2 linked regions of the Coturnix japonica genome follow. Each later gene encodes a partner of the first gene's protein in a complex. Links are inferred from orthologs where the notes say so. Each region holds a gene or a part of one and is shown on either strand. Other genes may lie near its edges.

Region 1 (3,806 bases):
TGAAAGAAAAAGGTGAGCATCAGATGGTGATAAAAGTTTGTAGATTGTCCTAAGACCAAGTTCTAATTAAAGGAAAATCCTATTTACACAGAAAAAGGATCCTATAGAAATGTAAATGGACTTGCCTAACTACAAACTGAGACCTCTGACTGGTCCTGGCTTCCATGTGTGTGGTTTTACTTTCATAATTCATTTCTGTTATAAGAGATTCTGCGGCATGCTGTGTATTCATGCAGCCAAGTGGCAGCCTAAGCACAAGCAGCACTGGAGGCTGTTTTCTGTAAGGTCAGTAATGGTTTAGCAACTGGATATCTTACCTCATCAGTGAATCCTATAATTCTAAAGCAATGCTGAATTGCTTCAAATTGTCTTCCATAGGAATCCTTAGTAACAATGTCATGCATTACTCTTCCAGTTTCATTATCAATGTATCTAAACAGAGTGAAAGAAAGCACTAAGTAGGTGATAAGTACAACCAACAGTGACTATAATGTAACTACATCCAGAGAAACAAAATGAAATGTTTATTATTAAAATAATTTAAATTTAAATTTTGAATTTTTTAAAAAATTAAATATTTAAGACATTTTTGTTTCTGTTGCAGTCACTTTTGCTAATTCTTTGTTAATAATCTGTTCATAGTGTTACTAACATTTTACCTACGTGCTCTCACCCAATGTAGAATCATATAGATCAGTTCCTCTCTAGGTACAAATACCAACTAAAAGCACAACTTAAAAACATATTTGGAGCACAGAGTGACTGTCTTGATCTGAATGTATGACAAAATACATATATAGTAATGAGAATATTTCTTCTTTCTCCTTAAATGGTTCCAGGTTTTAATGTAAATACTGTAATTCATTATTGTCCACCATTTATTTATTTATTATTTCCTTAAGGGATACAGAAGGATTATGACAGACTCAAGTCTGTCTTCAAAGACATCGTGCTGAAAGCAAGAGCTGATCAATAGATAATTAGAATCAGTGGTTAAAACATGTGACTGATAGTTACCTAGGAGGCTTTTTTTCAGGAAGCCTATATTCAGAAAGTTTCTTCTGATGATAAAGGCCAGCATAAATATAATAAAATATATGGAAATTTTTCTCTCCCCTAGAAACAACAAAGCACGTCTGTAAAGCACATGTGTTTATACTTGCAGTATCTTGTACAAGGTAAAAGGAAAAGTCTTTATCACAATCTCATTGAGACATGGAGCAAATGATCAGGGCCAATAATAGTGGAAGACCAAAGATAACTATTTCAGCTGTAAAACAGAAAATCCAGATAACCACATTATTTCTCAAAAGAAAATAGAATAGATCTGGCTTTTGTTCCAAAAGAACCAAACTATTCTTGTCATTAATGTTACTGTACAAAGGATTATTGCTTCAGCAGGACACACTATTGGAAGCACTTAAATAAGAGTTTTTAGAGAATTAAACAGTAAATAACATTACAAAAATGAGAAAGGACAGATGATTAGTGAACGTACACAGCCTGTTTTATAACCCTTGACTTTTCAAGTAGATACTCAGAAATCTTTGCACCCATTACAGCTCCTGTGGGTGTAAACATCATTTCCAGATATTTTCCAAAGCGACTTGAGTTGTCATTGATGGCAGTGCAGGCATTCCCAAATGCTTCAACCAGAGGATTCACCTGAAGAATTTTCTCACGCAAAGCACGGTTATTGGCCTTGACAGAACAAATATAAATCAGAATGACCATTATAAGAATATATTGCCTACTCACAATCCAATTTCTGCTTAAGAAGTATAGTATCCCATTATCTCATTCTTACAGAGTTAGATACTCCATTAACCTTCCCATCTATACAGTAAGGCCATACGCTGAAGGGAAAATCACCTACAGGTAAGGAAAATCATATTTTTCCTTCTTTGCAATTGTTTTATCTCTAAAGCTTCATATAATTTAATTAAGGCAACTAAGCCACCTGAAAAAAAAGAATATTACCTAAGACAACAATCATACTAATACATATATTTGTTAAACTTACACACATGATTTTCACACTATTTTGTAGTAGTAGCGTTACTCATTAACATTTAAAAACATAAGAGCTTCCAAGATCAGAGCCAAAGCAAGACCTGTTATATTTTATTGTACAGATTAACAATGTTATAGATTATTAACACTGCAGATAACTACAGGCACTGATCATTTGGAATTTGTCACTTTGTCCTACACTGAAATAGCTTGGTGCAGGTAATACTCTAATGGCAATGATTCAGTGCTTATAAATACTCTTCCCCTGCCTCAAGTGGATTAATTAACAAGAACAATTTTTAATATTAAACATTTAATAAAGGAGAAGTGCTAGGGAGTGGGGAGAATTCATTGTTTTACATTATTGCTAGAAATACCTTTCCCAAGAAGGTCAAATGCTGGACGATCAAATGGGCACTTTCTGTCTTTCCAGCGCCACTTTCCCCACTGATGATAATGCACTGAACATACAAACAAAGCAGTAAGTGTACAGTTCAACAACATAACAGAACATAAGCTACATCTGTAGCAAAGTGGCACTATGATTAATGTGAAATCTAAAACAAAATTAATAGTTTTACCTGATCTTTGCTGAACGTCACCATACTTTGGTAGGCAGCATCTGCAGAGGCAAATATGTGAGGGGGATTGGATGAGCGCTTCATACCATGGTAAAGCTTGGAGAACTGGATTAAGAAAAAAACACAACAGTAAAAATACAGAAGTGAACTCTACAGTTAAGATCTGAAAAGAAGAATAGTGAGTATCTTCTGCCTGCTAACCCACATGGTAGGTATTTGTCTGTTCTATTGCAAAATTCTGACTGAAGAGTGGTAATTCTTGGCACTGGCAATTTTGAAATGCTTTTCAGTATTTCTTTTACAGCATGGTGAGAAGACCTGTATCACAATAACAGAATTCCAAACCGTTTAGGCAGGAAAATTTTACCAAAGAAACTGCAAAGAAAAAAGTGAAGCTGGAATCTGGTTCCTCTGCCTGCAGCCCCGAGTTAGATACCCAAGGAGACTAAGATTTATGGCTCCACCACTCTTCATATTCATAGAGAATTAAGTTGTCTCTATTTTTACACCATTGAATTCACTTTTTTTTTTTTTTTTTTTTTTTTAAGCCACAACTGATGGCACAGGACATGTAAGAACCAGTCAGAGCAATTGTTTAGAAAGCAACAAACTCAGCGTGAGGCAGATCGTATAACTATCTTCTGTTTCCCAGAAGAAAGCCCTAAATGCCAGACAAGAGGAACAGCTGTGGCTGGGGCAATCTTAGCACTTCTGTGGAATTTGTGTCACCAAGCAGAAAGCAATTAAATCAAACTAGACTAAAGTGAAAGTAAAAATAGAAAACAATTTGTAGACACAGTTTTTTGGAAGAATAAAAGACTGAGGTTTAAACTGCACTCCCATCATGTGAGTATTTTAGCCAGTAGCACTAATACAAAATATAAAGCAAGTACTGTACACACCTTCAAGTCTATCTTACCTGTGGAGAGTAAATGCTGAGATTCTGGAAAGGGTTTAAGGCTATCAAAATATCTCCAACATATGTATAAATTTGTAAGTCAGCATAGCGTTTCTGCAGCTGATGAATAATTGTATCCTGAGAAGATTAGAAAAAATTTGATTGTTAAGCATTATTTTCCCAGTCAATAAGATTCTGTAAATATACTAAGAACATCAATTAAGAGGCGTGTAAAACATTACTAGTTATTTCTCAAACACCAATGTCACAAAATAAATAAAATATTTTCAAATTTTTCAGTTAAGCCATAAAAC
Region 2 (4,436 bases), on another chromosome or scaffold:
GGGCCGGGCCGCGGCGGGTGGGGGCTGGTTGGGGGCCTCACCTGGTGCCGAGGGAGCAGCTGGAACCTCCGTCAGGAACCGCACGGTCATCTCCAGGATGTCCGCCTTCTCCAGCTTGAAGCAGCGGGAGCTCTATGAGGGGCGGTGGTGGGCAACGGGCACCGGGAAGGGGGGATGGACGGGGCGGGCTGAGGGAAGGCAGGGACGGGACGCAGGGCCGGGCCGCGGCACTCACAGCCTTGCAGACGAGCGGCAGGATGAGCGTTTTGAGCTGGTTGAGGCTCTCGTCGATGCGGACACGGCGGCGTTTCTCCAGGAGGGACTTGAGGAGAAGAGGCCGTGGGGGCGGCCCGGCATCACGGAGCTGGTTCTCGTGCAGACCGGAGCTCACCTTGCGCAGCTCGGCGGGGACATCGCGCTCCGGAACCGCCAACGCCTTTATGAGCCGCCGGGCCGCCCCGCCTCCGGGCCCCGTGCGGAAAGGAGAGCGGGGTGGTGGGGCAGGGACGGGCGGGTGGGCAGGTAAGGGGGCAGGGCGTGCAGGTAGGGGGGCAGGGCGTGCAGGTAGGGGGGCCGGCAGGGCAGAGGGGCGGGCGGAGGGTGGCCCGGCCCCGCCGCTGTCCGCCGTGCTGCCGCCGCCGCCGCTGTCCGCGGTGCTGACGGAGCGGGGCCGGGCGGGGCGGGGGGTCTCGGCCCTTTCCCGGTGAGCGCCGTCGGTCCCACCGGCTCCCGCCCCCGCTGCCGTTGCTGGGAGAAAGGAGCGCTGCAGAACGAGTGGGGACCGCCGGGAGCGGGGGCACAGCGGGGTCCTCACCCTGCGGACACCCCACGCCCCCCCCCGGGCAGTGACGGGCAGGTCCCGGTCCCGTTGACGCCTCTTTCCTTCAGCAGAAGCGCGGACCCGGACTCGTGACTCCCGTTACGCGCACTGAAAATCTGAAAGCAACTTTCTGGTCCCGAGGGCTTCAAACCGGGGCTGAAACGCACCTGCCGCAGGTGCTGCACCAAAGGCTGCTGAGGGGCACGGCGGCCGTTCCCGGTTCCCGCAGGCCGCCCGAATCCCGCAGCACCCCGCACAGAAGCGCGGAGCCCCGCAGCCCCGCTCAGGGCACTCGGAGCAGTTCAGCCTGTGCCATGTGTCTCCGTGGGTCTCATCCCAGGATGCCGCGAAGTCTCAGGGGTACCGGCGGCCCCCGAGCCCCGAGCGAGGCGGCTCTGCGCCAAGGGAACGGGCACGGGGCGGCGGGTGGTTCGCCGTACCCCGACGGCCGGGCTCCCGTAGGGGCAACGCGGCGCGGGGCGGCGTGGGCGGGGGTGGGGGGGCGGCGGGGCGGGCCGGACCCGGGGGAGGAGGAGGAGCCGGTGGGGCCGGGCCGAGGCTCCGCGGGAGCGCCGCGCAGTGCCAAGCGGCGGCCGGACGGCCCGGCGCGGCCGGTCCGGGGCCGGGGCCATGGCGCTGGAACGGGCGCTGCAGGCGGCGCGGCAGGGAGACGTGGAGGCGCTGCGGGGGCTGCGGGCGGCGGGGCTGCTCCGGCCGGGGCTGCGGGACGCGCTCGGAGCCTCTCCCGCTCATCACGCCGCCCGCGCCGGCCGCCTCGCCTGTCTCCGGTACCTGGCGGCCGAGGCCGCCCTCCGCGGCGACGCGCGGGCTCGCAACGGGGCCACGCCGGCCCACGACGCCGCCGCCACCGGCAACCTCGCCTGTCTCCAGTGGCTGCTCACGCAGGGGGGCTGCGGCGTGCAGGTGCGAGCGGCCGCGGGCCGGGGAGGGGGCGCGGGGCTCGACGGGGCGGGCTCGGAGGGAGCGCGGGACGGGCGGCGGGGCCGGGGGGGCGGGACGGCTGCCCCCGCCCCTGCGGCACCTCCGGCCCCGGGGAGGATCCCGGCGGGGCACCGGAGAGCCCGGAGGCGTTTCGACGCGGCCCGGAGACCGCCACGGTTCGCTGCGAAGCTCGGGCCAGAGCGGAGCCGCCCGCTCAGCTACCGCGGTCCCCAGCGGGGCAGAAGCCCGTGCCGAGGGGCAGCGGGGGTCCCCTGAGCCGCGGGGCAGAGCGGAGATCGGCGCCCCGAAGGGCGATCGCGGAGCCGGGGCTCCACAGTCGGGGTCCGGCGGGGGAAGCAGCGTTTCGGCCGCGTGGGTCCGCGTGAAGGGTCTGTCCACGGCGTCAAGGTCACGCACAGATTCTGCCGGGAGCGGACAGACACGCGCGGCCTCCGCGCTGCTCGACGGAGAACGGCCCGGACCCGTGCGGGGGTGGGAGCTGAGCTGCCTGAATGGCGCTCGGGACCGCAGATCCGCCACACGCGGGACGAAGCCACGCAGGCCCGCGAGGAGGGGACGGAGGCTGGGGTGGGTGTCCGGGCGCTGTGACCCGGGGGCACCGGCACCTTGTCGGGCTTATACAACCAGAGCGAGCCCCGGGGCAGATAAGCAGCTTGCCCCGGGCTGGCTGAGAGGGAACAACATGTGACGTGGAGGAGGAGGAGGGGTGGCAGAGGTGATTAAGCAGGAAGGAAGGACGGGTTCCGCACGGTTCGGCGCAGTCCTGGCCCGAGGCCAGCTCAGCTTCGTGCCCCGCGGAGCGAAGGGAGCAGCGGGGCCGGGGCAGCGCTGACCCCGCGGCAGAACAAGCGGGGCTTTGTGCGGCGCCGGGCTGGTAAAACGCTGCTGGGGCCCACGGGAACCTGGCACGTTTATGGCACCGCGATCCTCTGCCGTCCTTCCAGGCCCATCCTCTCGTACCCGCGGGGCTGCCCGTACCTCCACTCCTCCAGCTCGGCCCCCCGCCCCACGCGCTCTCCCTCGCTGGAGGTGCAGAACTGTCCCGGGTCCCAATGGCGTCTCCCCTCCCTCCCGCAGGACGCAGACAACTCCGGTGCCACTATCCTACATCTCGCAGCCCGATTCGGTCACCACGAGGTGATCGAGTGGCTCCTCCGCTTCGGAGGCAGCGACCCCACGGCAGCCACAGACACGGGAGCGCTGCCGGTCCACTACGCTGCGGCCAAAGGGGATTTCGCTTCCCTGCGACTTCTCTTAGGACACTGCCCAAGGTAACGGCCCCTGCTGCCCTCGGGGGGCTCGGGGCAGAGTCCAGAGCTCGGCAGTGCGGGGAGGATTCAAGCTTTGGGGGAGCGGGGCGCCCGCTGCCACCTCCCCCCACCTCGGCTGCTGGGCAGGGGCCAGCGCTGAGGGCCGGCCGCATCCATTCCCTGCTGCACAGCTCCAAGGGCAACGCGGCAGCGTTATCACCTGGGCGCACAGCTGCGCTTTATCACCCGCAGATTAAGAGCGAGGAGAAGCGCAACGAGCGCTGACAGAAATATTGCCCACGGAGCCGGGTTTGTTCCCAGCGCTCGTGGCACGGGGCGATAACACAGCCGCCTTTGTCCACCTCCATTATGTAAATGGATTTGGCTGCCCGAGGAGGAGAGGCGACCTTTCCCGCTGCCTCCAGGAGCGCAGGGCCGGACCCCACGGCTGCGCATCGCCACGGCCCCGCACGGTGCCCTCACCCCCCGGTGCAGCCCTTCCCGTGTGCCTGGGATGCAGCGCGGCACCCCGTGCTGAGCCGCCCCGGGCTCGCGATGCGATTACACGGCGCTAATCTCATTTCCCACGGTGGGCAGAGGGTCTATAAATAACAGGGGCCCTGGCTGGGGGGGCACAGGGACGTGCCTCCCTGCCACACCACGCTGGGCAGGCTCAGGGACACGAGAGACCTGCTCGAGCTGCCCCAGCTCCACTCTCACCTTCCCCATGTGCCCACAGAGCCCCCAGCAGCACTTCCCCACCTGCAGGCAGCTCCCCAAGTAAGGCTGCGCTGCCCTTTGTCTCCTGCACCATTGGGGGCACCTGTGCTGCCCCGTGCCCAGATAAGTTAACCCTTCCCACCCCAGGCCCTGTTCCCTCACAGCCCTGTGTCGTCTCCTGCAGAGCTCCCTTGGCAGCAACCCTTTCACACTGAGTTTCACGTTCCTGTTGGGGTTAATCTGCTGCCAGCTGCCTTCCCCTGCCGAGGTGGCCCCTGAATTATTTACTGCTCGCCCTGTGCCTCGGAGGAGGCTTTGTTACAGCTGTGAAATTCAATCCTGGGGTGCCGTGGGATCTGCACGTACATCGGGTGGGTGCGTGCCGGGCTCTGCAGCACCACTGGGGGGGGTTTGGGGTGTTCCCAGCACTGCCATGGGCAGCTTGTGACTCCCATCCTACTGCAGCTTGGCCACCCGCAGGTCCCCAGCAGCTGGTCCCAAAGCAGGCAGCAGCGCGGGGTCGTGGCCATCTGGCACAGCACTCCCTGGCTGCCAGCCGGCACTCACCAGAGTGGATTAACCTGCCCTGATAACAGGGAAATGGCAATTAAAGGTTGGGCACGTACCAAGTGCACCCACACCACATGGCTACAACCCTCCCCAGGGGCTCTGCCGACCCCCCA

Evidence for each region.
Region 2: the proteins of MYO3B (region 1) and ESPN are in contact, whole or in part, in a crystal structure (PDB 5ET1), measured with the Mus musculus proteins. The link is inferred for Coturnix japonica from reciprocal best matches to the Homo sapiens genes MYO3B and ESPN. Residues at the interface, in XP_017174528.1 of Mus musculus: Arg1223, Arg1224, Gln1226, Gln1227, Pro1228, Lys1229, Met1230, Leu1231, Ser1232, Ser1233, Asp1236, Thr1237, Met1238, Tyr1239, Tyr1240, Asn1241, Gln1242, Leu1243; in NP_997570.1 of Mus musculus: Leu35, Ala37, His41, Arg45, Ala67, Asn69, Ala71, His75, Asp76, Ala79, Thr80, Asp101, Ser103, Leu110, Arg113, Phe114, Thr135, Thr137, Ala139, His143, Tyr144, Ala147, Thr169, Asn171, Tyr177, Leu178, Gln181, Ala203, Asp205, Met207.

What each region holds. Positions count from the first base shown.
Region 1 is NC_029522.1:16,467,504-16,471,309, reverse strand, and holds part of MYO3B (myosin-IIIb), read right to left. Parts: intron 3,631-3,806; coding exon 3,514-3,630; intron 2,700-3,513; coding exon 2,595-2,699; intron 2,475-2,594; coding exon 2,391-2,474; intron 1,702-2,390; coding exon 1,499-1,701; intron 1,117-1,498; coding exon 1,018-1,116; intron 433-1,017; coding exon 318-432; intron 1-317.
Region 2 is NC_029536.1:489,128-493,563, reverse strand, and holds the start of ESPN (espin), read left to right. Parts: upstream 1-1,450; coding exon 1,451-1,744; intron 1,745-2,860; coding exon 2,861-3,054; intron 3,055-4,436. Other genes in the region: HES2 (transcription factor HES-2), read right to left, coding at 1-132, 236-882, 1,404-1,452. UniProt on the Homo sapiens protein: Multifunctional actin-bundling protein. Plays a major role in regulating the organization, dimension, dynamics and signaling capacities of the actin filament-rich microvilli in the mechanosensory and chemosensory cells.